Linked DNA regions of Lonchura striata. The protein of the gene in region 3 purifies or fractionates together with the protein of the main gene of each other region. This does not show direct contact. Links are inferred from orthologs where the notes say so. Each region holds a gene or a part of one and is shown on either strand. Other genes may lie near its edges. The genes, in order: LARP4, IGF1R, RACK1 and TNRC6C.

What was found.
Region 1: the proteins of RACK1 (region 3) and LARP4 purify together in Homo sapiens (affinity purification with mass spectrometry; 3 studies listed by BioGRID and IntAct, counting the BioPlex papers as one, with this or other methods). This does not show direct contact. The link is inferred for Lonchura striata from reciprocal best matches to the Homo sapiens genes RACK1 and LARP4.
Region 2: the proteins of RACK1 (region 3) and IGF1R purify together in Homo sapiens (affinity purification with western blotting; 4 studies listed by BioGRID, with this or other methods). This does not show direct contact. The link is inferred for Lonchura striata from reciprocal best matches to the Homo sapiens genes RACK1 and IGF1R.
Region 4: the proteins of RACK1 (region 3) and TNRC6C purify together in Homo sapiens (affinity purification with mass spectrometry; 3 studies listed by BioGRID and IntAct, counting the BioPlex papers as one, with this or other methods). This does not show direct contact. The link is inferred for Lonchura striata from reciprocal best matches to the Homo sapiens genes RACK1 and TNRC6C.

The regions. Positions count from the first base shown.
Region 1 is NC_134629.1:8,867,749-8,874,692, reverse strand, and holds the start of LARP4 (la-related protein 4), read right to left. Parts: upstream 3,004-6,944; 5' UTR 2,909-3,003; coding exon of another isoform or gene 2,891-2,908; intron 1-2,890. UniProt on the Homo sapiens protein: RNA binding protein that binds to the poly-A tract of mRNA molecules. Associates with the 40S ribosomal subunit and with polysomes. Plays a role in the regulation of mRNA translation.
Region 2 is NC_134613.1:20,974,198-20,982,189, forward strand, and holds the start of IGF1R (insulin-like growth factor 1 receptor), read right to left. Parts: upstream 3,001-7,992; 5' UTR 2,689-3,000; coding exon 2,595-2,688; intron 1-2,594. UniProt on the Homo sapiens protein: Receptor tyrosine kinase which mediates actions of insulin-like growth factor 1 (IGF1). Binds IGF1 with high affinity and IGF2 and insulin (INS) with a lower affinity. The activated IGF1R is involved in cell growth and survival control.
Region 3 is NC_134631.1:304,610-312,188, reverse strand, and holds the start of RACK1 (small ribosomal subunit protein RACK1), read right to left. Parts: upstream 3,002-7,579; 5' UTR 2,890-3,001; coding exon 2,781-2,889; intron 819-2,780; coding exon 647-818; intron 1-646. Other genes in the region: uncharacterized protein LOC144247616, read left to right, coding at 5,230-5,239, 6,552-6,572, 7,099-7,119, 7,403-7,423. UniProt on the Homo sapiens protein: Scaffolding protein involved in the recruitment, assembly and/or regulation of a variety of signaling molecules. Interacts with a wide variety of proteins and plays a role in many cellular processes.
Region 4 is NC_134621.1:3,508,445-3,515,999, reverse strand, and holds the start of TNRC6C (trinucleotide repeat-containing gene 6C protein), read right to left. Parts: upstream 3,010-7,555; 5' UTR 1,857-3,009; intron 1-1,856. UniProt on the Homo sapiens protein: Plays a role in RNA-mediated gene silencing by micro-RNAs (miRNAs). Required for miRNA-dependent translational repression of complementary mRNAs by argonaute family proteins.

The DNA.
Region 1 (6,944 bases), on a different chromosome or scaffold from region 3:
CTGACAAAGCTCTCCTCAGCACAGCTTCCCCGCTCGCTCACACTGCTTCCAGCAAATGTGGATCCAAGATTCTCCTCCAGCAACTCCTAAAAATGGGTTATTGAAGAAAATTCTCATTCTGAAACATGGCAAAGGGTATTTTTCTTATTGTAATTACATCTAAATTACACTTAACCAGATTAAATGAAGCTAACAAAAATGCAGGCACTCAAAGAGTTTTAAAGCATTCAATTTTAATATTAACTCTAACTGTTCTGCAACCAAAATCCTAACCCAGAGCTTGTGACAGATTTCCTAGAGTAGACAAACTCTCTTAAACAGAAAACAAAGCAAAAAATCCAGAAGAGAATTTAACCAAACTTGTGAGGGGAGAAACGAACCCTTTTCCAGAAATGGAAACGTAAGCAGATGGAAAAACCCCAAGGTCAGCAAAGCCACGGGAGGCAGCTGAGAGAAGCCTTGTGCTGGCTGGGGGACAGGCAGGTAGGGAGCCTGAGGGGCTCCGAGCACCTTTTCTGAGGGCAGTCACCATCACCTCCTGGGGCTGAATCAGACTCAGAGGCTGGATGAGGAGAAGTTGGTGTCAAAGCAGCACAAAGAACTCCTCCAGAGCTGCTGGCAGGTTTCAGGTAACAGCTCAGTGCTCTGCTAACTCCCAACCTCACCGTAACTGCAGTGGTCACAGGAACATCCCTCCCAGCAGGAGCTGCAGGGTTTTCCACTGAGGAGCCACCCCTTGGAAAAGCCAAGACACAGCTGTGCTGTCTGCAGGTGGTACCTGGGTCAGAGGAGTGTGAACAGGGGAATGTGGGGTCACAGGGAGCCTCACCTGCTCGAGAGGGCCAACAACGCTCACAGTCCTGGATTTCTAACCAGGAAACATCATGGGCAGCATTTCACCCACCTGAAACGCACAGATTCCCATTTCCTCAATAAATTACAAATATATGGAATTAGGAGCACATAGCCATCTGAGTGCAGCCCATTATCAATTCCATTTCTCTCAATGTATTTATTAATATTCCAAATGCACCTAATTATTAATTGTTAACAGCACACAGGTCCTGGCTTAGAGGAGGAAAAAAGCCCTGCCCCAAACATAAATGTACGAAATAGCACAAGCCTTATACAGCCATCACTGCAGAGATTTGGAGCTAAAGGATGTTGAAAGAAACCCAACTCCCCCTCATGCACTGTGAAGGACTTGGCACAATCACCAAGTTTAAAACACTGACAGCTACAGCAACTGAAGCAATCCCCCTGAAAACCTCGGGACTTCCACCTGTCCTGTGCTTTATTTTCCAGGCATCCCCAAAGATCCCCAGATAAAGCTGCTATCTGCTCCCAAGCATCCAACTGCAGCACTCCAGGATAGCTAGCTCAGAGCTCCAGTTCTCTGTCCTGGCAGTGAAAAGAAACCTTCAGAAAATCCATATGATCGTCAGGAACTCATAATTAAATATTACTGAGGCTTCCAGAATGAAGATCACAGAAACTCCCAACGCTATCAGAGAAAGACCAGAGTTGAGTTTGTGCTTTAGGCCACCCTAAACTTCCCAAATGCTGATGAGCTCCAGCTCCCATCCACACCAGCAGCAGCCATGTGCTCCCTGATATGCTCCAGCTCCCGTCCCCATCTCCATCCCTGCATTCCAGAAGCCGCCTCGTGTGCGGGGCCTCTCTGGGATGAGGCAGCTGCTCGTGCCTCCCAGCAGCCTCAGCAGTTCCTCTTCCAGCAGAACCTGCAACCCCCAATTCTCCAGGCCTGTCACGGTGCTCGGAACAACTTTTAATCCTCCCCGCGAAGCCGAGGAACATCCAGCTCAGAACTGAGGTGATTCACTTAAGAAAGAGATCGTGTCTCCCAAACTGCTTTATTTAGGGGCTCCTAACCACGGAGCACATGTTGGTGTTTGTGTGCGAGCCCACCAGCACTATCTCACCGTCACCCGAACAAAACCCAGAGCAGAACCCCCAGAGCTGAACCTAGAGCAGAACCCTCCGAACAAAACCCCAGAGAAGAACCTCCCGAGCTGAGCCCAGAGCAGAACCCAGAGCAGAATCCCCCCGAGCCGAACCCACAGCAGAATCCCCCCGAACTGAACCCAGAGCAGAACCCCCTGGACAAAACCCCAGAGCAGAATCCCCCCTGAACAAAACCCCCGAGCCGAACCCCCCGAGCCGAGCCCTCCCGTGCAGACACAGCCCAGCGCCCGCCCGGTTCCCTCCGTGACTCCCCCGGCCCCGGCAGCTCCTTGCTCCGCGCACGTTTTGGGACAAAACTCGGTGCAAAGTTTACAGCGGCCACCCGGGTTCGCTCAGCGAAGGTTAAAACCGCTTCACCGAGCCCGTGAAACGCCGCGAGCAGCTGAAAGCCCATCCCGGGCCACAGCGGACGCGGCGCCCGCCCTCCCCGGTGACCTCCAGGGCCGGGCCGGGCCGCGCTCCTCGTCCCGCCCGGACCCGGCGCGCCGGAGAACGGCAGAACCCGCGCCGCTTCCCGCGCCGCAAACCACCGCCAGCGTTTAATTAACGCAATTAACGAGGCGCCGCGCTCGCGGCCGGCCTCGCGGGGCCGCCCCGCGTGTGCAGAGGCCGGGCCGGGCCCGCTGCTGCGAGGCCTCGGGGAGGCCCCGCGTGTCCCGCGTCACCTTCACGGCCGGGCCGCGGCCGCCCCCGAAGGTCACGGCGGCGCCTCCGCCGCCCCCCGCCCCGGCCGAACCTCCCAGAGCGCCCCCCGAGCCTCCCCGAAACCCACCCGCCCGCCCGCGGCCGCCACCGCCGGATCTGCTGTGTCAGCCCCGTCCCCTCCCCCGGCGCGGCGTGCGCGGCCTCCCGCCGCCTCCTCCTCCTCCTCCTCCCGCCACATGGCGCGGCGCCGCCACCTCACCTCCACGAACAGCAGCATCGTGCCGCCGCGGCCGGCGGGCCCGCGCTCCCCGCTGCTGCCCGGAGCGGCGATCGGGACACGCGGGCTCCGCCTCCGGCCCGTCCCGCCCGCCGCCGCCGCCGCCGCCGCCGCCTCTTCCGGGCGCCCCGAGCGCGTCCGGGGCACGGCCGGCACGCACCATTCCAGCGCGGAGGGGGGTGCGGCCGCCGCGCCGCGCGGCTCCGCCAGAGGGCGCGGTGGCTGCAGCGGCGCGCGGGAAGCGGCGTCCCCCGCGGACGGAGTGGAAGGGGCCGTGAGCCGCCTTGTGGAGAATTCACGAATTTGGGTTTTTTGGGTGTTTTTTTGTTTTGTTTTGTTTTTTTGTTTGTTTGTTTGTTTGTTTTGTTTTGTTTTTTGTTTTTTCTTTTTTGGGTTTTGGTTGGTTGGTTGTTTTTTTTTTTTCCTAATTAAAGAGCTCATAATGCTTTATGCTTCCTGTGAAAAACGCTAATCGCTTGGTTTTTAAAATTTTTCAAAATTTAATAATAATATAATGGTTATAAAAATGGTATTACAATGAGAGTAATAAAATTTAGAGTTAGGACAATTACACGACAATAAAAAGCAAAGAATTACGGACGTCCAGATGCTCTCAGACACTAAGTCATGAAAAAACATACCTTGTGAACAAAGGAATAACCTTAAAAGCAACAGCCTGTTGCATATTCATATATCTCATACATGATGTACAAATTCCTTGCAAATTAAGAACTCTTCACAAGATACACGACTTGGTGCATTTCAACCCCCCCTCCCCACCCAGACCCATGGTAGCAGCAGGAATGATGCTCTGAGGGGAAAACACGCCTTGAAACCGCTTTGCTTTAGTGAAAAACCCACAAAATGTGTTACAGAGCATTGAGGTGTAATTTGCTGGTTTTGGTAAGAGAATTAAAACACTCTGGTGTGAGTGGAGGATGGAGATTCCAGCCCTCAGGTTGCCATGAATCAGTGCCCTGGGAGGGACAATTGTAAATGCAGGTGAACCCAATGGGAGGAAATGATGATGTCGGGCTCAATTCAGAAGGCTGAATTATTTCTTTATTATAACTATGCTAAAATACATCAATATACTATATAAAAGGAAGATACTAAAACTACAAACTACTTTCTCTAACACAACTGGTGACCCTCTCTCGAGTCCAGCCCCAGGTGGGTTGGATTGGCCACCAGGCTCAAACAATCCTCACCAGAATCCAATCAAGCAATCACCCCAGGTAAACAATTCTCCAAACACATTCCACACAGGAAAAACAAGGAGCAGAAATAGAAATTGTTTTCTCTTTCATTTCTCTCTGTGCACCTCTATGAAAATCCTGAGAGGGAGAGAAACGTGCTTGCCACAAGGGACCCCACCAACGCCATCACCTGCAATTAGGGCTGGGCAGATCCGCGTGGATAAGTCGGAGCCAGGGAATAATCAGGGTCCACTGAGGAGATTAAACACCGAGCACAAGCTGCCCTGCAAACACAGCCCAGCTGCCAGGCCCTTGGCTGTTCCCTGGGGAGCAGCTCCAAGACGTGGAGAAGTGAAAGAAAAAGAAACAGAAGTGAAATAAATAAAGTTGGAGCAGGAGAAACGGGAGGGGACGGCTCGCACACTGCAGAATTTTGGAATCCTCTCGCTGTCAAGAGGTGCCTGACCTCAGTCCCCAGGGACAGCACGGGAGCAGCCCCTGTCAGATCTGTGTTTGTCACATCAGACACTGGTCTCTGTTCCTGGGAGCGGGGACAGGAGCCAAGGGAGCAGCTCGAGCTGTGTCAGGGGGGGTTAGGTTGGGTATCAGGAGAGGTTCTTCCCCCTGAGGGGTGTCAGGCATTGAAAAGGTTCCCCAGGAATGGTCAGAGGCCCCCGAGGCTGCCAGAGCTCCAGGAGCGTTTCAACAACGCTCCCAGGCACAGGGTGGGATTGTTGGGGTGTCTGTGCAGGGCCAGCTGCCAGCCTGATGATCCCTGTGGGTCCCTTCCAGTTCGGGATATGCCATAATTCCATGATGTAGTGAGACCTCACAGGTCCATTGAGAGTGAGAACTTCTTCTTCTTCATCCCCTTCCCTGGTGAGAAGCCATCAGACTGAGCTCTTGTCCTCTCCGAAGCACTTTGCAACCATTAACTCCTTCATCCTCACACCCCTGGGAAGGGTAAGCATGGCCCTTGGCTCACAAACCTCCTGAGCCCCAAAGCTGCTCCTTCATTTTGAGTGTGCCCAAATGGATTTCCCAAAGCAACGGAGGGATTGCAGCATGGAACATTTCTTAGCCCCATTTCCAGACCTGCTGAGCACCTGAGATCCACAGGAGCTGAGGACTCCTGGAGCCAGGCTTTGCTGGGATGTAAATTACCACTAATGCTCAGATTGGCGCATTTCCCAGCAGTTCTTCTGCCCATTCCATGGAAACCCCCGGCTGGTAAAGGCTCAGAGTCAGCAGGACACTCCCAGCTCAGGAACACTCCCAGCCTCGCTGGCTGGGGTGGAAAACCAGGCCTGGTGCATAGAGTGAGAGAAGAATTCCTGCAGGGTGACAACAATTCCGTGTCAGCCAAGGGAGAAACATGGGAGTGACACCACCCAAGCCAGGACACGACCAGGTCCTGTTGTCACCTGCTGGGAGGTGAAACAACCAGTTCTCTGTTTGTACCCGGGCAGGTTCTTTGCTGTGAGTCAGCAGCTGTCACTGAGGCACGGGCAGCTCCCCCGAGCCCATCCAGGGCAGCCCAGCAGCTCCCAAAGCCTTCTCCCAGCAGCTGGGTTTGGAATAATCACGGCAGGAACAATCGTTCCTCCTGCCCAGGGTGTTCCAGAGCGAGCTGGTGGACACAAATGAGACAAATCCCAGGCTGAGAACAAGCAAAGGGAAGGAAAGAAGCTCCTTTCCTGCAGCAGCCCCCACCCAGCTCCATGAAATCAGAATATGGAGCCATTTCTTTCTTGTTATAGTCAGATTATCTGATGTGAGCCCATGCCAGTAAAAACTGGGATTTCCTGTCACCAACCTCTCTCTGCTCTATTGACTTTTCCTTGCTTCAGGCATACCTCATGGATTTATTCCTCATTCCCCAGCTGGATTCAAGGGCATCTCCCCTGCTCCTCTAGAGCAGGAGCATCCCAGCACTCAGGATGGGGCAGGAGGAATGTGAGGACCATGACACAGAGACCTGAGCAGCAACAGAGCCAGCAAGGACACCGCTGCTTTTGCAAGAGGAAACTCCACCTCAGGGGAGAGCAGAGGGCACCAGGAATTTGGCCTTAGGAAGCCAGGAGTGAATGTTAAAACCACAAGGAGAAGGAGGAGCAGTGCTAGGAGAGATTTATGGCTCCTGGGTGTGAGCTGGGACCTCCCACTGGCAGTCCTGAGGTCTGGGCTCTCCCTTGCAGTGCAAAGTGCTGCTCCTTCCACAACTGTGCTGAAATAAGGAGCCACCTTCCCTTTTCCTGGTGTTCCACTGTGTGGAATGGGTGCTCACTTCTGTCCCAGCTGAGTACAAAAACCAGAAGCAAGGCAGGGATTGTTTATTGCCCCTGACTCTGATGAGCTCCCTGCACAGCAGATTTATCTGCTGGTTACCTGAGGGGTCCAAGCCAGTCCCTGGCTCGGGGGTGATGTTCTGTCCCTGCTCCCCACATCTTGCCCAGTGCCTGCAGAGCTGATGCCAACATGGCTCAACCACCTCTCGGCCCCAGTGTTTTGTCCAGATGTGCTAAATTTGCTTCCCACACCTCTGCTGCCACCCCCACTATCAGCAGGGAATAAATATTTTTAGACACAGAATAAATGGTGAGCTGGCTTCGCTATCTCTGCCTCAGCTCCTGCTGCCTCCTGCCAGGCAGCCAGGGAGCTCCAGCACCGTGGCAGAGCCTGCAGGATTGCAGGGTGTTCCCACCACGGGGCTCTGCAGATGCTGCCAAGGCCTCCTTGGTGGCTCCGACACAAAAGGCTGGGCTCAGCAGCTGCTGGAAACATCTGGCTTTAATTCTTCCTTAAAGCCACGACTTTCATTTGGCCACCAAACCACC
Region 2 (7,992 bases), on a different chromosome or scaffold from region 3:
CACTATTATGGGGAGAGAGAAGAATATGAAGAGATGTAAAACATCTGCTCTGGAGATCATTTTTCCCCCTAACAGCAAAATTCTTTCAGCAATAACTCGTGAAAACAAAGGCTATTAAACTGTAAACTACAAAGGCAATCGATTAGAGGCAGTATTCAGCTAAGACAAGTTTTTCAGCATATCTTCCCGTATTTAAATGCCTGGATCTTCTTCAGAAGATATTTCATTTGGGATGTTCATTTTAGGTAAGTGGTAACCACAAACACTTCAGAGGACTAGAACCTAAAATCCTGACATACTCTTCCTGCGTTACTTCATTGTTGGGTGAGCATTTTTATTTCAAGGTACTTTGTACCAGGTAAGACAAGGAAAACAATTCTAAGTGTGTATCCTAGCAGTTTAAGGATGCATCAAATCTCCTCCTCCTCCTGTTCTGTTTCTCCACACTACTGGATCCTTTGTAAGCCCTTCCCTGAAGAAGGGCACGGGGGTTTTGTTTTTGAACTTAAAGATTAATCTCCCTTCTTGAAAACAGCTCTAGCCAAAAAGTTCAACTCATGGAAGTAAGACTGCAGCTCTCCAGCCGTAGCTGGCCCAAAAGCCTAGACTGGGCCTTAATTTGCAAGGAGTTAACAGGCATTTACTGCCTAACGAAACATAATTATTACTCAACATGCATTACAGGCTCCGTCTATGTGCTTCTTGCTCACTTATCTTTTTTTGTGTACTTGGCCTCACTGCCAGTGCATCCAAAGAACTTCCCTTTCTTTTCAATCTGAAACCACTACTTGTAGAAAAGCCCTCCTGCCTCCTGAATTCCTTCCCTTTACATTTAAAATGGAGAAATCTGATCTCCTCGTTCCTTCCCTCCAACAGCGCATATCTTTCTGAAAGGGAGAGGCACACAACAGCTCCAGGAGTGTATTGAAAAACACACGGCAGAAGAAATTAAAGCATCAGGATGCAGTACAGGAACATCCCTGTTTCTGCAGACGCTGAAGGAGAGGGAGCACTGTTTAAAATGGTTGGGCTCCAAGGCACATTTACCATCTCCCCGTATACAGAAATACTCCAGGAAGAAAAGGGAAGGCTAATTTCATGCAAGAGATCCTCAATCCAGCGTGAGCCCGACATACCAGGAGAAAACCGATCAGCCCCGGGATTAATCCGGCGATGATTGCAGTGTAATCAATGGCAGCGCAGCCCTCCCTGCCCCCTCGATTCCCCCTGCGCCCGAGAGGGGCGGGCACTGCAACACAATCACAGGTTGGGAACGCACAAAAACAAAGTCGGGGCTCTGGCAGCTCCCGAGCGAGGCGGGCGGGCGCGGGGATGGGCAGAGGCTCCGCGGCAGGAGGGAGCCGATCCACGTTCTCCCGGTGCTCCCGGGGAAGCGGCTCGCACGCTGCTCCAACCTCGGCGCTGGCTGCAACACGGCCGCTTGGAAAAATGCATCCCCCTCAGATCGCAGCCCGTTCCGCCATCAAACCTTTCTATTTACGCACAAACGTCAATGTGCGAATTAATTCCCTTTTTAAAATTAACGGCAGCCCGTGACCTTTAGATTGCGGGATGCCGCCGTAATTCCGCACACAGCGAGTGAAACCCCTCCTCGGCGGTAAAAGGCAAGGCGTTCATTTCCAGGAATTCCTCACTCACTACAGCAGGTTCCTGCATACAGCCTCTAAATATTGACAGAGATCAAGCTCCTTCCATGAGGGGGAAAGCGAGCGGAGTCCTCCCCAGCCCGCGAGTGTTTACTACGCAGCTCGCAGCCCTGGCTGCGGCGCCTGAGCGCTGCCCCGCGCTCGGGGGGGACACAAAGGAGGGGCACGGCCCCCTCCGCCGGGCTCGGGGCTGCGGCGCTGCCGACCCGTGTGTACAGCCAGGCAGCCGCCTCCCGGGGAGGAAGGCGGGCATGGCAGGGAGGGAGACGCGCAGCCCCGGGTTGTTAAACGTGCTGGAGGAGCAGACGCGTAACAGGAGGAAAACACGCAGAGCCCCGCGGGCAGGGGCGAGACCCGCTCGGCGCCGCGGCGGGAAACGGCGGGAGCGCCCCTCACAGCCGCGGGCAGGGAGCCCTCGCACGGGCCCCGGGGCCAACAGGGACCCCCACAAGGACAGGGAGCCCCTCGCACACAGCCCAGACACGCAGGGAAGCCCCTCACGCACACACACGGCGAGGGAGCCCCTCGCACAGGGAACCCCCTCGCACACACGGGGAACCCCTTCGGCAGCCCCCTCTCACACACACACACACCCAGGGAGCCCCTCACGCACACACCCAAACACAGGGAGCCCCTCACGCATCCCCACACACGCAGGGAGCCCCCCCCATCACCAGCCCACTCACACACATTCATACAGGGACCCCCCCTCACATACACGCGCAACACCCACATACACACACACACGTTCACACAGGGACACGCACACACACAAGGGAGCCCCCCACACACAAACACCGGTACCCCTCACGCCCCCCCAAACACGCACAGGCAGCCGCCGCCCTCGCCCCCTCCCCGGCAGCCTGACTCGGGGGCTCCCTCACCGCGGGGTGCCCCGCAGCACCCCCGGGCACGCACTGTACTCACTTTCCCCATTTGTTGGCCACAGACAAAGTGCGGCGAAAACGAGCAGGAACCCCCAGACGACGGCGAGGGACCCTCCTCCAGCGCCAGACTTCATTCCTCTTTCTTTAATTGGACAAAATCCCCCTTTCCGAAAACAAAACAAAGCAAAAAGAAGTCCAAAATTGTTCGCTTTCTTTCCTCTCCCCGTCCTCTAAAAATAACGAGCGGCGGAGGAGCAGCGGGGCAGGGTAAATAAATCCACGTTGCCTCAAGAAATGAAGGAAAAAAAAAAAAAGGAAAAAAAAAAAAAACCACGACCCTTCGGAGCGGCAAACCGGAGGGTTGTTGAGGTCCCTGGGTGTTGATCTTCCGGAGCAAGCACACCAAAAATACACAGATATTCACGATGTATTAACGGCAACAACAAGGCATGGAAGCCCCGGGGCGACGCTGTCTCCGGGGCGGCGGGGCGGGCTCGGGGCGGCGGGCGGGGGGCGCCGCCGTCTCCCCTCAGCGCTGGCTGCGGTGGTACATCGTGCACAGGAGCCGCAAACACGAGGCACATCGGGGCTGGCAGTCGGCATCTTCAACCTCCATTTTCAAACACCGCACACACGCACACACACAGAGACACAAAAACTGGGAGGGCCGCGGAGGGAGGGGAAGGGGGGGGCGCGACCCAGACAATCCTATTACAAAACAACAACAGCTCCGCCGTCCCCCCGCGCGGGGACGGGGCTGCCCCGGCGGGATCCCCGCGGCTCCGCTCCCCGCTCCGCCGGGGAGGGTGGGGGGGACACCCCACGCACAACCACCACCCACAACAACACCGCCGCCGCCACCACGAGTCCGGCTGCCTGCAGAGGCTCGAAATGCAGAATTTGGGTCGAAAATGAATTAAAAAGGCTTCCCCCCCTACTCCTCCTCTTCCTCTCCTCGGCGCGGCTGCCACAAGGTCCTTCTCAAAAAAAAAAAAAAAAAAAAAAAAAAAAGAAGAAGGAAAAAAAAAAGAGAAAAAAAAGCCGAATCCAGGACACACACACAAAGCAGCAGCAGCAGCGGCAGCAGCAGCGGGGCGAGCGGAGCGCTCAGCACCCCGCCTCCTCCCCCCGCAGCTCTCCTCTTCGCATCCCTCCGAGCCGCCTTGCCATCGCGGCGGGGGCGGGGGGGAGGAGGACGACGACAACAACAACAACAACAAAAACCACCCAGCGAATTTGTAAATCCTTTTCCTTTTTTTTTTTTTTTTTTTTTTTTTTTTTTCCTTTCCTCCCTTTCCTCCTCTTTTCCCTCCTCCTCTGGGTGCGCGCGCGCTGCGAACCTTCCCCCGGCGCTGCCCAGCCCAAGGCAGGGGGAGGGGGATCCGGGAGAGGTGTGGGGGTGTGGGTGTGTGTATGTGTGTGAGTGTGAGCAGGGGGGGCTGCGGGGGGCGAGGAAGGCGATCCGGTTTGCTGAAGGTCAAACCCCAGGAGCTTGTTGCGAAGGGTCTGTAATTCCTCCGGGGAGGGAACGGGGCGGGGAGGGAGACCGGGGGGGGGGGGAAGGGTCTGCTGCTCTGCTGCTCCTCCCGATTAATTCGCCGCTTGCTTGCAGCAGGGTTCGCAGCGCTCTGCTGCCGCGTCTGCCCCCCCAATCCTCCTCCTCCTTCTCCTCCGCGCTGCCTCCCTGTGCACGACGGAGAGCGAGCGCTGGTAAACAAGAGCTCGGCGTCGCTCCGCCGGCGCTTCTCCGCTCTGCGGCCGCGCGGGGACGGGGCTTGCGCCCGCCCGCCTTCCCTTCCCTTCCCTTCCCTTCCCTTCCGCGCGCGCTCCCGTTCCCCCCCCCGGCTCCCCCCGCCCAGGCGGCGGCGCCGGCGGCGCGCGCGGAGGCGGCGGCGGCGCGAGCGAGCGCCGAGAAAAACCCGGAGCGGAGCGGAGCCGGACCGGGAGGATGCTGCACCTCGGGATGCTGCGGGGCCGCCGCCGCTCCTGCCTCTGCCCCGGCCTTCCCAAACCGGGAAACGGCAGCAGGAGACCTGGGGGATATGCAGCGAGCATCCTGCGGGGCGGCGGGAGAGCCCACGAGCGAGCCCTGCCAGTGGAAACACTGCTATGTTCCTGACAAATAAATAAATATATTCAATTAAACATATAAAAAAGGCAGGGATGGGATTAGGAGGAAGGAGAAATCCATAGCTGTGATTTTTGCATGGCGTGTTTGTTTATTTATGGCATTTAATGGAAGCTGCTCCTCAGTTTCATACTGAGGACAGGGCCAAGGGCTGAGCCCGGAGCGCTGCTCCCAGGGATGCGGGTCAGGAGCGAGGGACAGGGATGCCAAGGCTTGGCCCAGTGCAGGCGACAAACCACGGTGGAACACGCCCCAAGAGCACGCCCCCATTCACACTCGCCATCCTCTCCTCACACGCTCACCATCCCCATCCAGCCCTCCAGCATTGTCACTCCGTTTCTCAGCTGCTCACTCGTACCCCTCGATGACATTGGGCACCCAGGCCCCAAATGATGGGGACATGGGATGAGTTGGAGCAGAAAAGGTTTGGGCTTTTCAGACTCGGAAGACATGGGCCGTGTTCCCGCTGTTTCGCTGGAGCTCGTAGTAGCCATGCTGTACGGCATATGGGTGTCCTGAGTAATCACAGATTTGTTGCAATACTTTGGCATGGGGAGATAGCAAAATGATGCTGAAGTATAAGAAAGCAGACATCTGTGAGCATTAGCTATATTCTAGGCTGTTGGTTGTTTTTTTTTAAAAAAAGTACATTAAGAAATTCGCAAATGTCACATTATTAATGCAAATGTCAAAATTAAGTTTTTACATTTAAACCTGAATTCTTGAGCATCTTGTATTACAATATCCTTCATTGACACTACCCCATCATTTCCAACAACCTTGTACTGTACGTGTTTTTCTTCTTGTAGTTTTCCCATCCATTCTTCTACTGTTTGCCTTGTGAAAATGGTCCTGTTGTCTGAATTACTCATTAGCTCTTGTACTCCTTAGGAAAGATGGAAATGTTCAATTCTGTGTCACAGAAATTGAAGGGAAGATCCTCACTGAGTACAACAGGGCTAGGATTGCCACATGAGCACACCTATGCAGGACTCTGTCAATAATTCAAGAATAACTCAAAACTATAACCCTCCCGAGATTCCCTGTAGGAAGATCAGACATTTTCACCTGAAACCATCCTGGACTGCCACATGTGTGGTTGGTTGATTTTATCAACCACACACAGGCTCTCATGTCCTCAAATTGAACCAGAGAGATCTTCATGTGCCATAAATTTTTACTGTTGCTGGGTACAGCTGTGGCTGCTACGGGCGCCGGTTCTGAGCAGAACAAGTGTCCTTTCTATGCATGTCATGGCATTGATGCAGCATAAATTGTAACGTCTTATTTGCCAATTAATGTCTTGCTGTGTAAAGACAGAGCTGAAGTGGGAACTGCGTGTCTATCCTTCATCATTCTGCTGTCATAAAGAACTTTTATTTTTGTCAAATAGCCTTTCTTTCGTTACTTTGGTGAATGGGGTGTCATGGACAAGCCCATTGTACTGGGTGATGTACAGGCAGAGAGCAGAAAGATGTGCTGTGCCCCAAAAGAGCTTCCAGTCTCATATAAACACAGCCCTATAGGTGTTGTAACATAGTTTATTTCTGGAATCTTTTGGATTCTTTTAAAAATTTAAAAAAAATATGGTAATAACAGCACATTTTTGAACAGGAGGTGTTTGCAGTGCTCTCCATCCTCCTGAGCTCCTGATGTGAAATTCATAATTTGTAGTTATCTGGCTGGATTCTGTCAGGATGTCTTTATTTTATTCTGTGGAAGTATGCGGGAGGAATCCCTTTTTCTGTGAATGCCCAGGTGCCCATAGCTCTGGTCTCTTAACCTCTTAAGAGGAGAACTGTGCACAATCTTCAGCTTTCCTCATTCTTTTCTGTGTTGAGCAGCTTCCAGTGCCAGCCAGGCACTTGCACATGCTCAGCTTTAGAGCACCCTTTCAATCAGATCTGGCTCTTGTATGTTGGCATATTTCTCCAGGAAGGCTCCTGTTCTTTTCAGTGGATATATTTAAATCAGGATTTTTCAGTGTGTACAACCACACCATGGTTATATCCTTGATGATGAAAACCTCAAGCACACTGTCCCTGTACCATGTGTAAAATTAAAGTTATAATTTGGACAAATTAAAGTTAATTTTCGTAACAAGGTGCTTCACGAGTAAATCATAAAATGGTGTCTCCTCTTCTCTGTCCTATGGGTTCTACAATCATTCCTCCTCTCTGTTTGCACTAGGCTTTTGCTCCCCCTTTGTCCACTGCTGGTTTATGGTCCCCGAGATAGATGGACAGAAAGAAACACCTGGTTACACACACACATTTTACCCTCTAGAGCGTGATGCTGAATGCCACCAGCATACCTGTGTCCTGTTTAAAATACCACTTAAGTGGAAAACTCAGGAAATGTGGCAGTGGGGATGAAACAACGTGGTTAAAACAGCCACTGACCCCGGTCTCTCAAAACATATATCTGCCCAAGGCAAATATCCTCACACTCAGCCATACTTTTGTTTTAACAGCAGCCTCACCACTGCTTTCTGGGGCCACCACTGGGGAGGAAGAGGCCTCATCATTCCCCTGCCTCGGTGCTCGGACTCCATATAGGCTTGACTAGACTTTATTTTGGCTTCTGCAGCACATTCAGGGCAGCCTGACCTCTTTACCAGACGCTTGCTTGTCATAACCTTTATGCATCTGAACATTTTGTATTACCGGCAGAAGGAGCTGCTGAAATTTGTTCTCCTGCCTTCTCCAGCCGTGTCAGCTCCCCGGGATGAAGGTCAGCCATCACAGAGCACTGCCTGAGTCTGCTCCAGGGGCTGCTTTTTGGAATGTCTCTGCAGCTCCTGGCCCCTGCCGTGGGCCAGCAGCTGAGAGCACCCACTGCAGCCACCTCGCCTGCCCCAGGAGCTGCTGGTGCTGCCAGCTCACCTTGTTCAGCCTCTGCTCCAGGCTGAACGCTCTCCTTGCGGGGAGGTGCGGGTAGGTAAGAGTTCCAGGTGGGAATTGTGCCTGGGTGAGTGATACATCTCTTACACAGCCTGGGGAGTGGGTTTTGTACACCTGAAAGGCAAACAGAAATCCTTGGAATTCACTCTTTCCCCCCCTCCAAATCTCCCCTTATAAAAAGCATTTTATGGACTCATAACAAGCCAGGCAAAATGTGGGTTGCCCCTTTCTACCACGTTTTTCACTTTTTGCCAGTTTTTGCTCTGTATTGAGTCACACCCTGTACCAATGACCTTCACAGGCTCCCGACTGCAGGAGGATGCTCAGTCTCCTCCCTGCAAGGGGACAGGAGCGCAGCACACCTCAGATGGATGCTGGCTGGGCAGGTTGAAATTATTAACTCCTCT
Region 3 (7,579 bases):
GGTTCCATAAATGATGGTCTTCTTGTCTGGGACACCCCAAAATTTTGCCCAAAATTGGGCTGCTCCCCCGAAATGTTCTCCCATCATCATTGCAGGACGTGTCGTCAGATCCCGTGGGATCGGATGGAGACGTCAGGTCTAATCATCGGGAGAGGGGCGAGCAGCTCGAAAATCCCAAATTCCGACCCAAAAATTTGGGATTTACCCAAATTTTGGGATGATCTGACGCTGGTGAGACCCAAAACCCCTGGTGGGACCCCAAAACCCACGTGGTGAGATCCCAGAGGAGAAAGGATGGTGGACACCTCAATCCCACCCCAAAAATCCCAAATTTCCCCAACTTTTGGGACAACCTGACCCTGGTGGGACCCCAAAACCCACGTGGTGAGATCCCAGAGAAGAAAGGATGGTGGACACCTCAAACCTTCTCAATCCCACCCCAAAAATTCAGGATTTACCCAAATTCTGACCCTGGTGGGACCCCAAAACCCACGTAGTGAGATCCCAGAGAAGAAAGGATGGTGGACACCTCAAACCTTCTCAATCCCACCCCAAAAATTCGGGATTTACCCAAATTCTGACCCTGGTGGGACCCCAAAACCTTCTCTAAAGACCCCCAAATTTTAGGTGGAACCCCAAAACGGACGTGGTGAGGTCCCAGAGGCGCAGGGTCCCGTCCCAGGAGCCTGAGAGCGCAAACTGCCCGTCCGAGGAGATGACCACGTCGCTGACGAAGTGCGAGTGGCCGCGCAGCGCCCGCTGCGGGATCCCGTAGTTGGTCTCATCGCGCGTCAGCTTCCACATGATGATGGTCTTGTCTGGGGTGGGGACAAGCGGGGGGTGTCACCTCCATGGATATCCTTGGTTCTTGGTGGGTTTGGGGTCATCCTTGGTGGGTTTGGGGTGGTTCTTGGTGGGTTTGGGTCATTCTTGGTGGGTTTGGGGTGGCTCTTGGTGGGTTTGGGGTGGTTTTGGGTCATCCTTGTTGGATTTGGGTCATTCTTGGTGGGTTTGAGGTGGTTCTTGGTGGGTTTGGGTCATTCTTGGTGGGTTTGGGTCATTCTTGGTGGGTTTGAGGTCGTTCTTGGTGGGTTTGGGTCATTCTTGGTGGGTTTGGGTCATTCTTGGTGGGTTTTAGGTGCTTCTTGGTGGGTTTGGGGTCATCTTTGGTGGGTTTGGGTCATTTTTGGTGGGTTTGGGGTGGTTTTGGGTCATCCTTGGTAGGTTTGAGGTGGTTCTTGGTGGGTTTGGATCATTCTTGGTGGGTTTGGGTCATTCTTGGTGGGTTTGGGCCATTCTTGGTGGGTTTGGGGTCCCCCACCCGTGGGTGCCCCCAGCCCCATTTCCCCTATGGGTGCCCCCAGCCCCATTTCCCCCATGGGTGCCCCCAGCCCCATTTCACCCCATCTCCCACCCATTTCACCCATGGGTGCCCCCAGCCCCATTTCCCCCGTGGGTGCCCCCAGCCCCATTTCACCCCATCTCCCACCCATTTCACCCATGGGTGCCCCCAGCCCCATTTCCCCTGTAGGTGCCCCCAGCCCCATTTCCCCTGTAGGTGCCCCCAGCCCCATTTCACCCATGGGTGCCCCCAGCCCCATTTCCCCTATGGGTGCCCCCAGCCCCATTTCCCCCGTGGGTGCCCCCAGCCCCATTTCCCCTATGGGTGCCCCCAGCCCCATTTCCCCTATGGGTGCCCCCAGCCCCATTTCCCCCGTGGGTGCCCCCAGCCCCATTTCACCCATGGGTGCCCCCAGCCCCATTTCCCCCGTGGGTGCCCCCAGCCCCATTTCCCCTGTAGGTGCCCCCAGCCCCATTTCCCCCATCTCCCACCCATTTCCCCCGTGGGTGCCCCCAGCCCCATTTCCCCCGTGGGTGCCCCCAGCCCCATTTCCCCTGTAGGTGCCCCCAGCCCCATTTCACCCATGGGTGCCCCCAGCCCCATTTCCCCTATGGGTGCCCCCAGCCCCATTTCCCCCGTGGGTGCCCCCAGCCCCATTTCCCCTATGGGTGCCCCCAGCCCCATTTCCCCTATGGGTGCCCCCAGCCCCATTTCCCCCGTGGGTGCCCCCAGCCCCATTTCACCCATGGGTGCCCCCAGCCCCATTTCCCCCGTGGGTGCCCCCAGCCCCATTTCCCCTGTAGGTGCCCCCAGCCCCATTTCCCCCATCTCCCACCCATTTCCCCCGTGGGTGCCCCCAGCCCCATTTCCCCCGTGGGTGCCCCCAGCCCCATTTCCCCTGTAGGTGCCCCCAGCCCCATTTCCCCCGTGGGTGCCCCCAGCCCCATTTCCCCCGTGGGTGCCCCCAGCCCCATTTCCCCCATGGGTGCCCCCAGCCCCATTTCCCCCGTGGGTGCCCCCAGCCCTATTTCACCCCATCTCCCACCCATTTCACCCATGGGTGCCCCCAGCCCCATTTCACCTATGGGTGCCCCCAGCCCCATTTCCCCTGCAGGTGCCCCCAGCCCCATTTCCCCTGTAGGTGCCCCCAGCCCCATTTCCCCTATGGGTGCCCCCAGCCCCAATTCCCCTATGGGTGCCCCCAGCCCCATTTCCCCCGTGGGTGCCCCCAGCCCCATTTCCCCCCCATCTCCCACCCCCCAATTTCCCCTATGGGTGCCCCCAGCCCCATTTCACCCATGGGTCCCCCCCATTTCCCCTATGGGTGCCCCCAGCCCCATTTCACCCATGGGTCCCCCCCATTTCCCCTGTAGGTGCCCCCAGCCCCATTTCCCCCGTGGGTGCCCCCCCCCCCCTCCATCCCCATGGCCGCCCTCACCGCGCGACGCCGACAGGATCATGTCCGGGAACTGCGGCGTGGTGGCGATCTGCGTCACCCAACCATTGTGGCCCTTCAGGGTCCCCCGCAGGGTCATCTGCTCCGTCATGGCGGCGCCGATGGAGGCGGCGGCGCCGAGGATGGCGGCGGATTCGCGGCGGGTTCGCGGCGGCCTCGGCGCGCAGCCCTCCGTCCCCTCAGGCGGCGGCGGGGAGAAAGAGGAGGCGCCGCTTCCGGGAGAAGCGGAAGTGACGTCAGTTCCGTACGGAATGATGGCGGCCGGTATGGGGGGAGTAAGGAGGCGGCGCCATTTTGGTGTACGGAAAATGGAGGCGGGGATTTGGGGGGGGTCTCGGGGAAGGTTCCAGGAGGCCCAAAAAATCACAGGGAGCCCCAAAATATCTCAGAGACCCCAAAAATCCAGGGAGCCCCAAAAAATCCCATGGAGCCCCAAAATATCTCAGGGATCCCCCAAAAAATCACAGGGAGCCCCAAAAATGATCCCAGGGAGCCCCAAAAAATCCAGGGACCCCCAAAAAATCAGAGGGAGTCCCAAAATATCCCATGGAGTCCCAAAATATCTCATGGAGCCCCAAAATATCCAAGTGACCCCCAAAAAATCCAGAGAGCCCCAAAAAATCCCATGGAGCCCCAAAATATCTCAGGGACCCCCAAAAGATCCCAGGGAGCTCCAAAAAATGATCCCAGGGACCCCCAAAAAATCTCAGGGACCCCCAAAAATCCCAGGGACCCCCCCAAAAATTACAGGGAGCCCCAAAAAATCCAGGGACCCCCAAAAAATTACAGGGACCCACAAATTTTGGGCTCCTCCCCTCCCCAAATTTTGGGCCCCACCCCCCCAAATTTTGAGCCCCACCCCCCCAATTTTTGGGCCCTCCCCCCCAAATTTTGGGCCCCTCCCCACCAAATTTTGGGCCCCTCCCCACCAAATTTTGGGCCCCTTCCCCCCAAATTTTGGGTCCCGCCCCCCCAAATTTTGGGCCCCGCCCCCCCAAATTTTGGGCCCCGCCCCCCGGGTTAATTTTGGGATCGGCTCCGGTTCCAGCCGGGCTCGGCGGCCTCGGGGCCTGCGGGGCCCCAAAATCCGCCCCAAAATCGAACCCCAAAATTGACCCGGCCGGTGAGTGACCCCCAAAATCCCCCAAAAACCCCAAAAATCCAAAAAATCCCCCCCAAAACCCCCCAAAAATCCCCCCCGAAATACCAAAAAATCCCCCAAAACCCCCAAAAATTCCCACCAAAAAATTCCCAAAATCTGCCCCGGGCACCCCAAAATTGAACCCCAAAATTGTCCCGGCTGGTGAGTGACCCCCAAAATCCCCGGGGGACCCCAAAATCCCAAAAAATTCCCCCAAAATCTGCCCCAAAATCCCCAAAAGTCCCCCCGAAATCCCAAAAATCCCCCAAAATCCCAAAATTCGGCCAAAAAATCCCAAAATCTGCCCCGGGCACCCCAAAATTGAACCCCAAAATTGTCCCGGTCAGTGAGTGACCCCCAAAATCCCCCAAAAACCCCAAAATCCAAAAAAATCCCCCCAAAATCCCGCCAAAATCCCAAAAATCCCCCAAAATCCCAAAATTCGGCCAAAAACCCCAAAATTCGCCCCGGGCACCCCAAAATTGAACCCCAAAATTGTCCCGGTCAGTGAGTGACCCCCAAAATCCCCCAAAAATCCCAAAATCCTAAAAAATCCCCCCAAAATCCCCCCCGAAATCCCAAAAATCCCCCAAAATCCCAAAATTCGGCCAAAAACCCCAAAATTCGCCCCGGGCACCCCAAAATTGAACCCCAAAATTGTCCCGGTCAGTGAGTGAACCCCAAAATCCCCCAAAAAACCCAAAATCCAAAAAAATCCCCCCAAAACCCCCCCGAAATCCCTAAAATCCCCCCAAAACCCCAAAATATTCCCAACCCCCCCCAAATCCCCCAAAATCCAAAAAATTCCCCCCAAAAAACCCAAAAATTCCCCAAAACCACTAAAAATCCCCCCAAAAATGTCAAAAACCCTCCCCAAAACCCCAAAATCCCCAAAAACCCCCAAATTCCCCCAAAATCCCAAAATTCCCCCCCAAAAAACCCCCAAAATCCCCTCGAAATCCCAAAAAATCCCCCAAACCCCCCAAAATCCCCCCAAAATTCCAAAAATACCCAAAAGCCCCAAAAATCTCCCCAAAAATCCCCAAAATTTTGCCCCAAAATCCCAAAAATTCCCCCCAAAAAACCCCCAAAAATCTCCCCAAAAATCCCAAAAATTTTGCCCCAATTCTGCCCGAAAAGATTTTATTTTATTTTATTTTATTTTATTTTATTTTATTTTATTTTATTTTATTTTATTTAAATATACCCAAAATTCCCAAATTTTCCTGGAAAATTCTTCCACCCCCCCCAAAATTCCGAATTTTTTTCCTTTCCAGGAGCAGCGACGAGATGGAACCGGGTGGGTAAAAAATCCAAATTTTTCCCAAATTTTTCCCAAATTTTTCACCCCAAAAATTCCAAATTTTCCCCCAAATTTTTCACCCCAAAAATTCCAAATTTTCCTATAATTTTAGGTGAATTTTCCCAAATTTTTCACCTCAAAAATTCCAAATTTTCCTAAAATTTTAGGTGAATTTTCCCAAATTTTTCACCTCAAAAATTCCAAATTTTCCTAAAATTTTAGGTGAATTTTCCCAAATTTTTCACCTCAAAAATTCCAAATTTTCCTCAATTTTTGGGTGAATTTTCCCACATTTTTCACCCAAAAAATCCCAAATTTTCCTCAAATTTTGGGGTGAATTTTCCCTATTTTTCACCCAAAAAATCCAAATTTAAGGAAAATTTGATTCAATTCCCAGAATTTTCCCAAACTGACCCAAATTTTCCCTTTTTTTCCTCTTTTCCAGGAGAAAATTCCGCTCTGGGTGAGTGAAATTTGTGGTTTTATTCCCTTTTTTTTTTGCTCTTTTATTTCAAATTTATTCCCAATTTTTCCCACTTTATCCCCATTTTATTCCCATTTTTTCCCAAATTTATTCCCCAATTTTATTCCCATTTTTTCCCCATTTTTCCCCAAATTTTTCCCCAAATTTTTCCCCACTTACTCTTTGACATTTTAAATATTAATTTTAATATTTATTAATTACTAATTTTGCTATTTACTAATTTCAGTATTTATTATTTATTAATTTTGCTATTTATTAATTTTAATGTTTATTACTTATTTTGCTATTAATTATTTTTTAATATTGATTATTTCTTATTTTTATATTTACTATTTTTAATATTTATAATTTTATATTTTTGCTATTTATTAATTTGAACATTTATTATTTACTAATTTTCTTATTCATTATTTCTAATATTCTTTATTTCCCCAGATTATTAATATAATATAATATAATATAATATAATATAATATAATATAATATAATATAATATAATATAATATAATATAATATAATATAATATAATTAATATAATTAATATAATTTTAATTTAATTTAATTTATTCTAATTTAATTTAATTTAATGTAAGTTTAATTTTAATTAGTTTAATTTAATTAATTTCATTTATTTTCTGTTTTTCAGGTGACTCCAGCACCAAACTGAGTCAGTCCAACCAAAAATCTTCATTTTTGCGGCCGATTTTGGGGGGAAAAATCCCAATTTTGGGCCCGGATGCTCCGAGACCACCCAAAAAATCCCAAAAAAGGAAAAAATTTGGAAATAATTTGAATTTTCTTTCTTTTTTTCCCCTTTTTTCCCAGAGGAACGCGAGCGGAAAATCAGTGAGTGCCCATTTTTGGGGGAAAAAATGCAAATTTTGGGTAAATAAAATTACAAATTTTGGGGTAAAAAAATCCTGATTTTGGGTAAAAAAAAAATCCAAGTTTTATGGTAAAAAATTCAAATTTTGGGGTAAAAAAAATCCAAATTTTTGGGTAAAAAATTTGAAATTTTTGGGTTAAAAAAATTCCAATTTTTGGGTTAAAAAATCCAAATTTTCAGTTTAAAAAAAAATCCCAATTTTGGGTTGAAAACTCCAAATTTTTGGTCAAAAAAAAATCCGAATTTTGGGGTAAAAAATCCAAATTTTGGGTAAAAAAGACCTCAAAATTTTGAGGTTAAAAAAATCCAAATTTTCGGTTTAAAAAAATCAATATTTTGGGTTAAAAAATCCAAATTTTTGTGTTAAAAAAAATTCCAAATTTTGGGTTAAAAAATCCAAATTTTCAGTTCAAAAAAAAATGTAAATTTTGGGTTAAAAAATCCAAATTTTGGGGTAAAAAATGCTCTTTTTTTTTTTCTCCACAGCCAAACTTGCTGCTGAAATCCGTGAGTTTTTGGATGATTTTGGGTTAAAAAATCTGAATTTTGTGTAAAAAAATTTGTAATTTTGGGTTAAAAAATGGTAATTTTGAGTTAAAAGTGTGAATTTTGGTTTAAAAAAATCTGAATTTTTGGGTCAAAATTTCTCAATTTTGGGTTAAAAAATCGTAATTTTGAGTTTAAATTCTGAATTTTGGGTTAGAAATTCTGATTTTTGGGTTAAAAAACCAGAATTTTGGGTCCGTTCTGGAGATTTTTGGGATAAATTTGGATTTTTTTCGTCTCGCAGGGAGACTGACGGCGCTGCTGGGTACGGACAGAACGCGTTAATTAAAATTAAAATCCTTAATTAACCAATTTCATTTAAATTTTCATTTCCATTTTCAATTCAATTCTAATTTTAATTTTAATTTTAATTTTAATTTTAATTTTAATTTTAATTCTCCTTTTAATTTTAATTTCTAAT
Region 4 (7,555 bases), on a different chromosome or scaffold from region 3:
CTATAGCTTTTTTTTTTTTTCCCACAGACTGCGAGTCTCGGGCTCGGAAGCAGCCAGGTTAGGTTATCCACCAGCAAGGCTTCTGCAATCCCAGCCAAAAAGCACCACAGTGCTCCCCAGAGCAGCTTCCTCACTGGGGTATCCAGGGCTGACACTGATGTTTTCACGTCTGGAAAGAATTCCAGAAGCCACAGCATCCGGGGGCTGTTGCTCAGCACACCATTTTGAGCTCACAAATAACACACAGGAGCAGGCAGGCAGACATCCCAGGGATTCCTGAACCCCAGGAACAGGGCTGCAGCAAGGAAATTCCGTGATATGCTAAGCACAGGTTGCACCCACTGCAAGTCACCTCCTATTTCCTTGGAAAACACCAGGGGAAGCAGTGAGAACCCGTGTGTACCTTCCCACTGCCTTCTCGAAATTATTATTTTTAAAAAATGTAATATCCGAGAGGAAACTCCTTTTAAATGCTCAGTCGTCGGGGAATCCAAAGGAAAAAAAAAAACCCAAAAAAAAGCCCAAAAAACCCCACCCACCGCCGGGAAGGAGGGCAGGATTTGGAAGCCATGCCTGGCTCTCCCAGCGCATCCAGCAGCAGTGCAGATGTTCTCCTGGTCCTCCGCTCTGGCATTGTCCTCAGGTCCACAGCACCACCGACACCCACCTGATTTAAAGCTCTGCACCACTAACAGCGGGATTTATTGGAATTTTAATTACCTTAACCGGCCTAATGTCCACAGCAAATTTCTGTACATAAATTAGCATAATTCGCCAGATACATACATATGCAAACGAGAAGGGAAAATATGCAACAGACACGGGTATGACGTCCCAAAGATTATTTCTAAATTTAAACTGGCTGTTAGAATAATTGAATAAATCTCTTCTCGCAGATACACTCGAGTTGTAGCAGAAAATAAACTAGTCACAAAGACCTGCAGTATTATTTTTAATGGGAAAAGAGGGGGGAAACCCAATTGAGTTCAATAAATCCCATAATTGAACCTTCAACTAATTACATATTAAGAAGATTAACCTTTGACACAAACTTGTGATACAAACAAAGAAGCCTCGAACAATTAATAAACTTCCAGCGTTTCAAGATTTCTCAGGTTAACAACTGAGCCCTTCCCATTTTCCTCCCCTCCTGCGTCGCAGTTAAAGGAATAAACTCAGTTTAATATTCTCTCTCCCCCTGGACATTCCAGGTTTAGACGAAGATCTCTCTGTGGATACTCAGGAGAAAATGACTGCGGATCCTCACAATCTCATTAGGCGGAGGGGGAAAAGAGGAAAAATAAACCAAAGCTGAACATTTTAACTTTTTAAGAGAAAGCAGCCATGAAGGACAAAGCTGGAGCTCATGTGCTCGCCCACAGGGCAGCACTGCTGGCCATGCCCACAATTTCCCAGCCCTGGGATCATTTCCAAGCCGCTCTGCGATAATTTTCACACGTGTAAGTTCTAAAAAGCAAGAGCACACGGTCGTGCCTTGCAGCAGAAGCTGCCTTCGTGTCATGTCTGAATGGCACAACATGCTCACAAATGGCACTTTCTGCTCGCTCTTCGTGGCCAAACAGCGATTCCGGACAGAGGAAAAATACCGAATTAATTCTACCATTAAAAAAAAATCCGGAGGTTGTTCGCGTTTTTTTAAAAATCGTATAAAAATAAAAGGGATTTTGAAATGTTTGGGGGTGTTCCTTGCTTCGCTGACTAATAAACAATTTAAAAATAATAATAATAATCTAGTTTAGATTTGTGAAAAAGGAGGAATGCACAGGTTTTGCAGGTCTCTTCCCCTGCTAACTTCTATCGTGCCCAGATTAAGAAAGGCTCTTACCCGTTCTTACCTTTTAGTCTTTTCTTTATGGGGCTCTTTGGCAGCTTTCGATTCAGTCTTGCTGTAAGGAAACAAGTGAGTATTTTGTCTACCGTGTAGGGGTCTTTCTGACGTGTTCCTTTCTTATCTTTAATGCTTCTCTTTTTTTTTTTAATTTTTTGTAAATGTACCCGTAATTTCACGAATATGAATACGAAAAAAATCTCACACGGCCAAAAAAAATAAGTTTTTTGTTGTTGTCGTCGTTTGTTTACCCCCCTCAGGGAAAAAAAAAAAGTCTGCCACACAGGAGATGAAAAAAAAACCCCAGCAGATCAACAGGAAAACACTATCCAAGTAGAAAAGCAAGGAGCTTCAGTGTTATCCAGCCCAGAGGAGAAGTGCAGCAAAAGCAGGTCCAATTCCAAAACAAGCTTTTGATTTCCAGTGAAGCAAAATAAAAAAATAAGAAAAAACAACAAAAAATAACCAAGACCAAGAAACCAAGACAAAATACACGTTCAAGTCCCCAGCTAAATTTCTGCACGAGTGTGTCTTAAATACAAGTTTGCTTTCATGTGTTGCAGCAAAACCCACGGAAAGCCAGGATTTGGAGTTGATCGGGATGAGTTCTGGTGTGTGTGTCTTGATGGGTTCTCAGTCCACATGGAGGAGCATCTGAGGGTTTTTCAAAAAGTGCAAATCAAAAAAAGAGAAACCGGGATCCAGAAAAAGAGTTTTAAGATGGATCCCCCCTTCAAAATAAAAGGAGGAGGGTGGTGGTGGTGGAAAAAAAAAAAAAGCAAAAAGCCTCAAAGAGCAGGGCGGGAGGCACGGGGGGATGCGGAGCCTGGCATGGGGCTGCGGGCAGGAGGAGGATCCAGCGCTGTCCCCGCCGGGGGAGGAGGGTCCGCGGCTCCGCAGGGACCCCGCGGGCGATCCGGGCCGGGAGGAGGATCCAGCAGCCGCTCCCGCAGGAAGCGGCGAGCGCGGGGAGGGGGGACCCGGGGAGGAGGATCCAGCAAAGTCTTTTCACGGAGGGAGGAGGGAGCGGGGACTCGCAGCGGGCTCCGCGGGCAGGCGGGAGGGGGGCGATGCCGCGGCTCTCTCCGTGTCCTCCGCAGGGATCCGGCTGGGCAGCGGGGCGGCGTGTCCCCGGGGAGCCGCAGCAGCGCCTCGGGCAGGCTCGGTCGGTCCGCCGGGATGCAGAAGGGGGAGGGGGTGGTGGGGGGGGAACGCAGCGCCGCTCGCCGTCTCTCTCTCTCTCTCTCCCGCTCGCTCTCGCCTCGCAAAGGGCAGGCGGGTGCCGGGCTCAGTGCTGCCGGGACGATCCCCCGCTCCTCCGCGCCGCCGGTGCCGCCCTGGGGAGGCGAGGAGCCGCCGCTGCCGCCGCCGCTGCTGCTGCCGCCGCCGCGGCCATTTTGTCGCTGACTGACAGAGCCCCGCCAGGCAGCGCGAGACCGCGGGGCGGCTCCGCGCGCGCGCGCCCCCTTCCCGCGCCGGCCGCCAACGGCAGCTGGCGCGCGCTGCCCCCCCCGCCCCGCCCCCGGCCCCGCCCCCGGCCCGGCCCTCCGCCCCACGTGACGCGGATGCAAATGAGCGCGCCGGCCGCGGCCAAACGGGCGGCGAGGCCGACGCCTATGCAAATGAGCGCGCGCGCGCGCCGCGGGCCACGCCCCCCACCGCCTCCCTCCGCGCCGAGGCGCGCGCCCTCCCGCCACCGCCGCGCGCCCAGCCCGCGCCCCGCGGGGGGAGGGGGCGGAGAGCTCGGTCCTCCCCCCCAAAAAAAAATCAAAGGGGGACCCCCACACGGGAAAATGGGGGTCAAATCAAAGGGTACGGGGGGGAAAATCAAAGGGGTACACGGGGGTCACCCCCACCCGTGGGTGTCAAATCAAAGGGGTACGGGGGGACCCCCACACGGGAAAGTGGGGGTCAAATAACAGGGGTACAGGGGGTGTCAAATCAAAGGGGTGCAGGGAGGGTCACTCTCACCCGGGAAAGTGGGGGTCAAAGGGGTACAGAGATGTCACCCCCACCCGTGGGTGTCAAATCAAAGGGGTACGGGGAGATCAAATCAATGGGGTACAGGGATGTCACCCTCACCCGTGGGTGTCAAATCAAAGGGGTACAGCGGGGGTCACCCACACCCGGGAAAGTGGGTGTCAAATCAAAGGGGTACGGGGGGACCCACACCCGGGAAAGTGGGGGTCAAAGGGGTACAGTGATGTCACCACCACCCGTGGGTGTCAAATCAAAGGGGTACAGCGGGGGTCACCCACACCCGGGAAAGTGGGTGTCAAATCAAAGGGGTACGGGGGGGACACCCCCCATACAGGAAAGTGGATGTCAAATCAAAGGGGTACGGGGGGGACACCCCCCATACAGGAAAGTGGATGTCAAATCAAAGGGGTACGGGGGGGACACCCCCCATACAGGAAAGTGGGTGTCAAATCAAAGGGGTACAGGGAGGTCACCCCCACCCGTGGGTGTCAAATCAAAGGGGTACAGGGATGTCATCCCCACCCGGGAAACGGCATCAGTGCTTTCTCACACACACAGCGGTGGAAAAGGGGGTTAAACACATTCCTGCTGCACCCCGAGCTGCCGGGAGCCCCCCTCTTTGTGCCAGCTGTGAGCGCACACCTGCAGGGACACCCCTGGGTGACACTCCCGGGGTACCCATGCAGGGCTCTCGGCCCTCGGAGGGGATCCCCGTTCTACCCAGGCGCCTCCAAAAACAATCCCGGTGTTTGAAACGCGCCCGTGGCTGAGCAAGCCCGGGGAGCTGCGCAGGTCGGGGAGGGGAGATGGAAATGTCACATTTCAGAGTGGCAGCGGCTGGCTTGTCCCCCACAACAACCACATTAGCTGCTTCTGTCAGGAGAAAGTCAGGAGCTGGTCTCAAAATACCGCGGGAAGAGCGGAATGCAAAAAATTAGTCTTTTTTTTTTTCTTTGCTAAAAATTGTTGTGTCTGGGTCTTTCCAGCAGATCTCCGGTTTTCTCTCCTCTCCTGTTTCCTCTCCCCACTTCTGCAGCGAACGTTTTGGGAAGTGCAAGGAAATCCAGAGCGTGGATTTTTATCCGCTGGGGCTGTTCCGCTGAAATCTGAGCGGAGCAGGGCTCACCGGGCAGGGCTGGTGATGCTGCCGGGGACTGGCACCCGCAGCGGGGCATTCGAGGGGACAGAAGCACGGTCCCGGTACGATTCCCGCTGGAATTTGTGATGCCAGCCCCAAAGCCACCCTGTGCCAGCCTCTGGGCAAACGACACCAGGAGCCCGGAGCCCCTTGACCACTGGAGGGAGCCCATATTGTGCCAGAATGCAACAGAAATACTGTGGGGAAGACAAAAAAAAAAAAGAAAAAAAAAGCCACTAAAATATGAAATATCAGATCATTGTAGTCAGAACAAAGTGTCTTCTCCAGGTCAGACCATGATCTATAGCAATGCAAAATGTTATAAAAATCAGATTTAAATGTCCCATTGTATTTCATCAGCACAAAGAAGAGAAAGAATTATTAAGAAGAAGGCTCTTTTTTTTTTTTTTTTTTTTTTTCCCCATATTTTGAATGTCAGTCTGGCACCTTTCACCGGGAATGAATTCATACGCCAGGATGGTGACAGACCTGGCTTGGAGGGAAAATGCCCTTGTGTCATCCCAAGGGCCAGCTGAGCTTCCCCTCACTCTCCTTACTTAAATGTAGGTCAGCACCTATAGACTCCTTCCAAACCCACCCCGGAGCTGCAGCAGCTTTCCAAGGGGATTTTCCACTGCTGCTTTCCAAGGAGATTTTTTGCTCTCCTGATCAGCCAGCCACTCCAAGAAGCAGAACAGAAGAAGCCACATGCCATGCTTATGGCACTACAAGCACCTACAGGAGGCTGCCCTGCACCAAAACCTCTGCTTGGCAATTGTGCCAAGGAATGTTCCTGGTCTCCTATGTTACATGTTGTGAACGTTGAAATATTTGTAATTCAAAACACATTTTTGCCACACAAATATTTCTGGCTTTGCAGAGTGGTGCCAAGTTGCTGGAGACCCTGAAATGTCAAAATGGAATAAAACTGAAAGTGATTTGTGTACTAATCTCTTTTCTTGGCCCTGGAGAAATTACTATCAAAAGCATGCTATAACCACAGCCCCACAGACACAGAAAGCCTGTTGTGTTTGTCACCCCTGTCCCAAAATACTGTCTTTAACAGATAAAAACACATTCTACTAAACTTTTCCTGTCTTACCTGAGCTTTTTTACCATTGAACACAGGGCTTTATCCAATGTAATTTTTATTTTTCCCCCTGCTTTGGTCTCCCACTGGGGTTTTGCCCTCCCACTCCCCTGGTTGTTCTCCTTGGGGGCTCGCACAGATCCTCAGCATCATCTGAGGCTCTGTCACCTGGTGTCAGCAGCTGGTGGCTGCTGTCACCACGCATGGTGCATCTGTCCCCTCATTGCCCTGAGCTGACAGCACCCTGGCAGGGCACGGGCTTCTCCTTGAGCTGTGTTCTTCCAGAGCTGCTCCAGCACAGAACCAGGGCTCCAGGCAGCTGCTGCTGCCTTGGAAGGCTCTCCTGCCCCCAGTGCTCAGGTAGTGGCTTTTGTCACATGTGAGTAAGAGCAGATGTGAGCTGGTGTGAAGGGGAGGCAGAGGGACAGATGATGCCAGCGCATGAGTGCTCCCAGAGCAGGAGGAATTCCAGTGCTGCCTCGTAAACCTCCACTAACCCAGTCTGTCAGGGAAAAGCTGTGACCAAAGTGTCCCCAGGGTGTGTTAGGTGGGTGGCTTTGAGCACAAAGAGCCAGGCACTCACACAGATGCAGCGTTTGCTCTGCTGAGAGTGACAAAGCCCAGCTAAGCAAAGGTCTTCCCACGTTTAGGGCTGTGTTGGGTGGCTCAACCACACCCAGGCAAAATATTCCTCCAGCGTAGATTTTAGAGATGTCTCTTGCTTGGTTTTGTATCATCCAACCAAGCACAGAATTGTCACCAAGCACTCCTTGCACTTCTTACCCAGCAATAACAAGCACACAAAAAATTAAAGTCAAAGCCCTGCTCCAGTGACAAAAACAACAACCCCATTCCTTAAGGAGAATCCAGTCTCTGATGCTGAACAGGATTTCCCAGAGCCCACACAAAGTGAAGCTACAGCTCCAAGGCTCTCCCTTTCCTGAGGTGATGCTCAGAGGTTGGATGGGCAGGATCACTCAGGATCCAGGACACCACAGGCTCTTCTCAAGTTTTCCAAGGAAAATATGAATGTGCAAGCCATTTGTACAAAGTCCCTCTGAAGGGTGCATCCACATCCCTCCTGGCCACCCAACCACAAATGGTGTCTTTAGGGTGAGCACTTAAATAGAATCATAGAATTGCTAAATTGGAAAAGACCTCAAAGGTCTTTGATTCAACCATTCATGAACTGTACTGAACTTGTACATAACTTTTTATTGGAAAAACTCACTTTCACAACTTACATCTCTTTCCCCACATTTTCTTCCCACTTGCTTGGACCATGCCCTGCTGTGACACCTCCACATCGGAGTGGTTGTGCCCAGCTATGAAATGTCCTCTCCATGGCACTGGCCCAAAGCAGAAAGGGCTCCTGAAAAAAAAACCTGATACCCCATGTTCCTCCTGATGCCTTGCAAAAACATTTCACATCAGCAAACCCACTGTGGTGATCATCATCACAGGAGTCTGGCAGTTCACCTTTTACCCTGCACTGGAT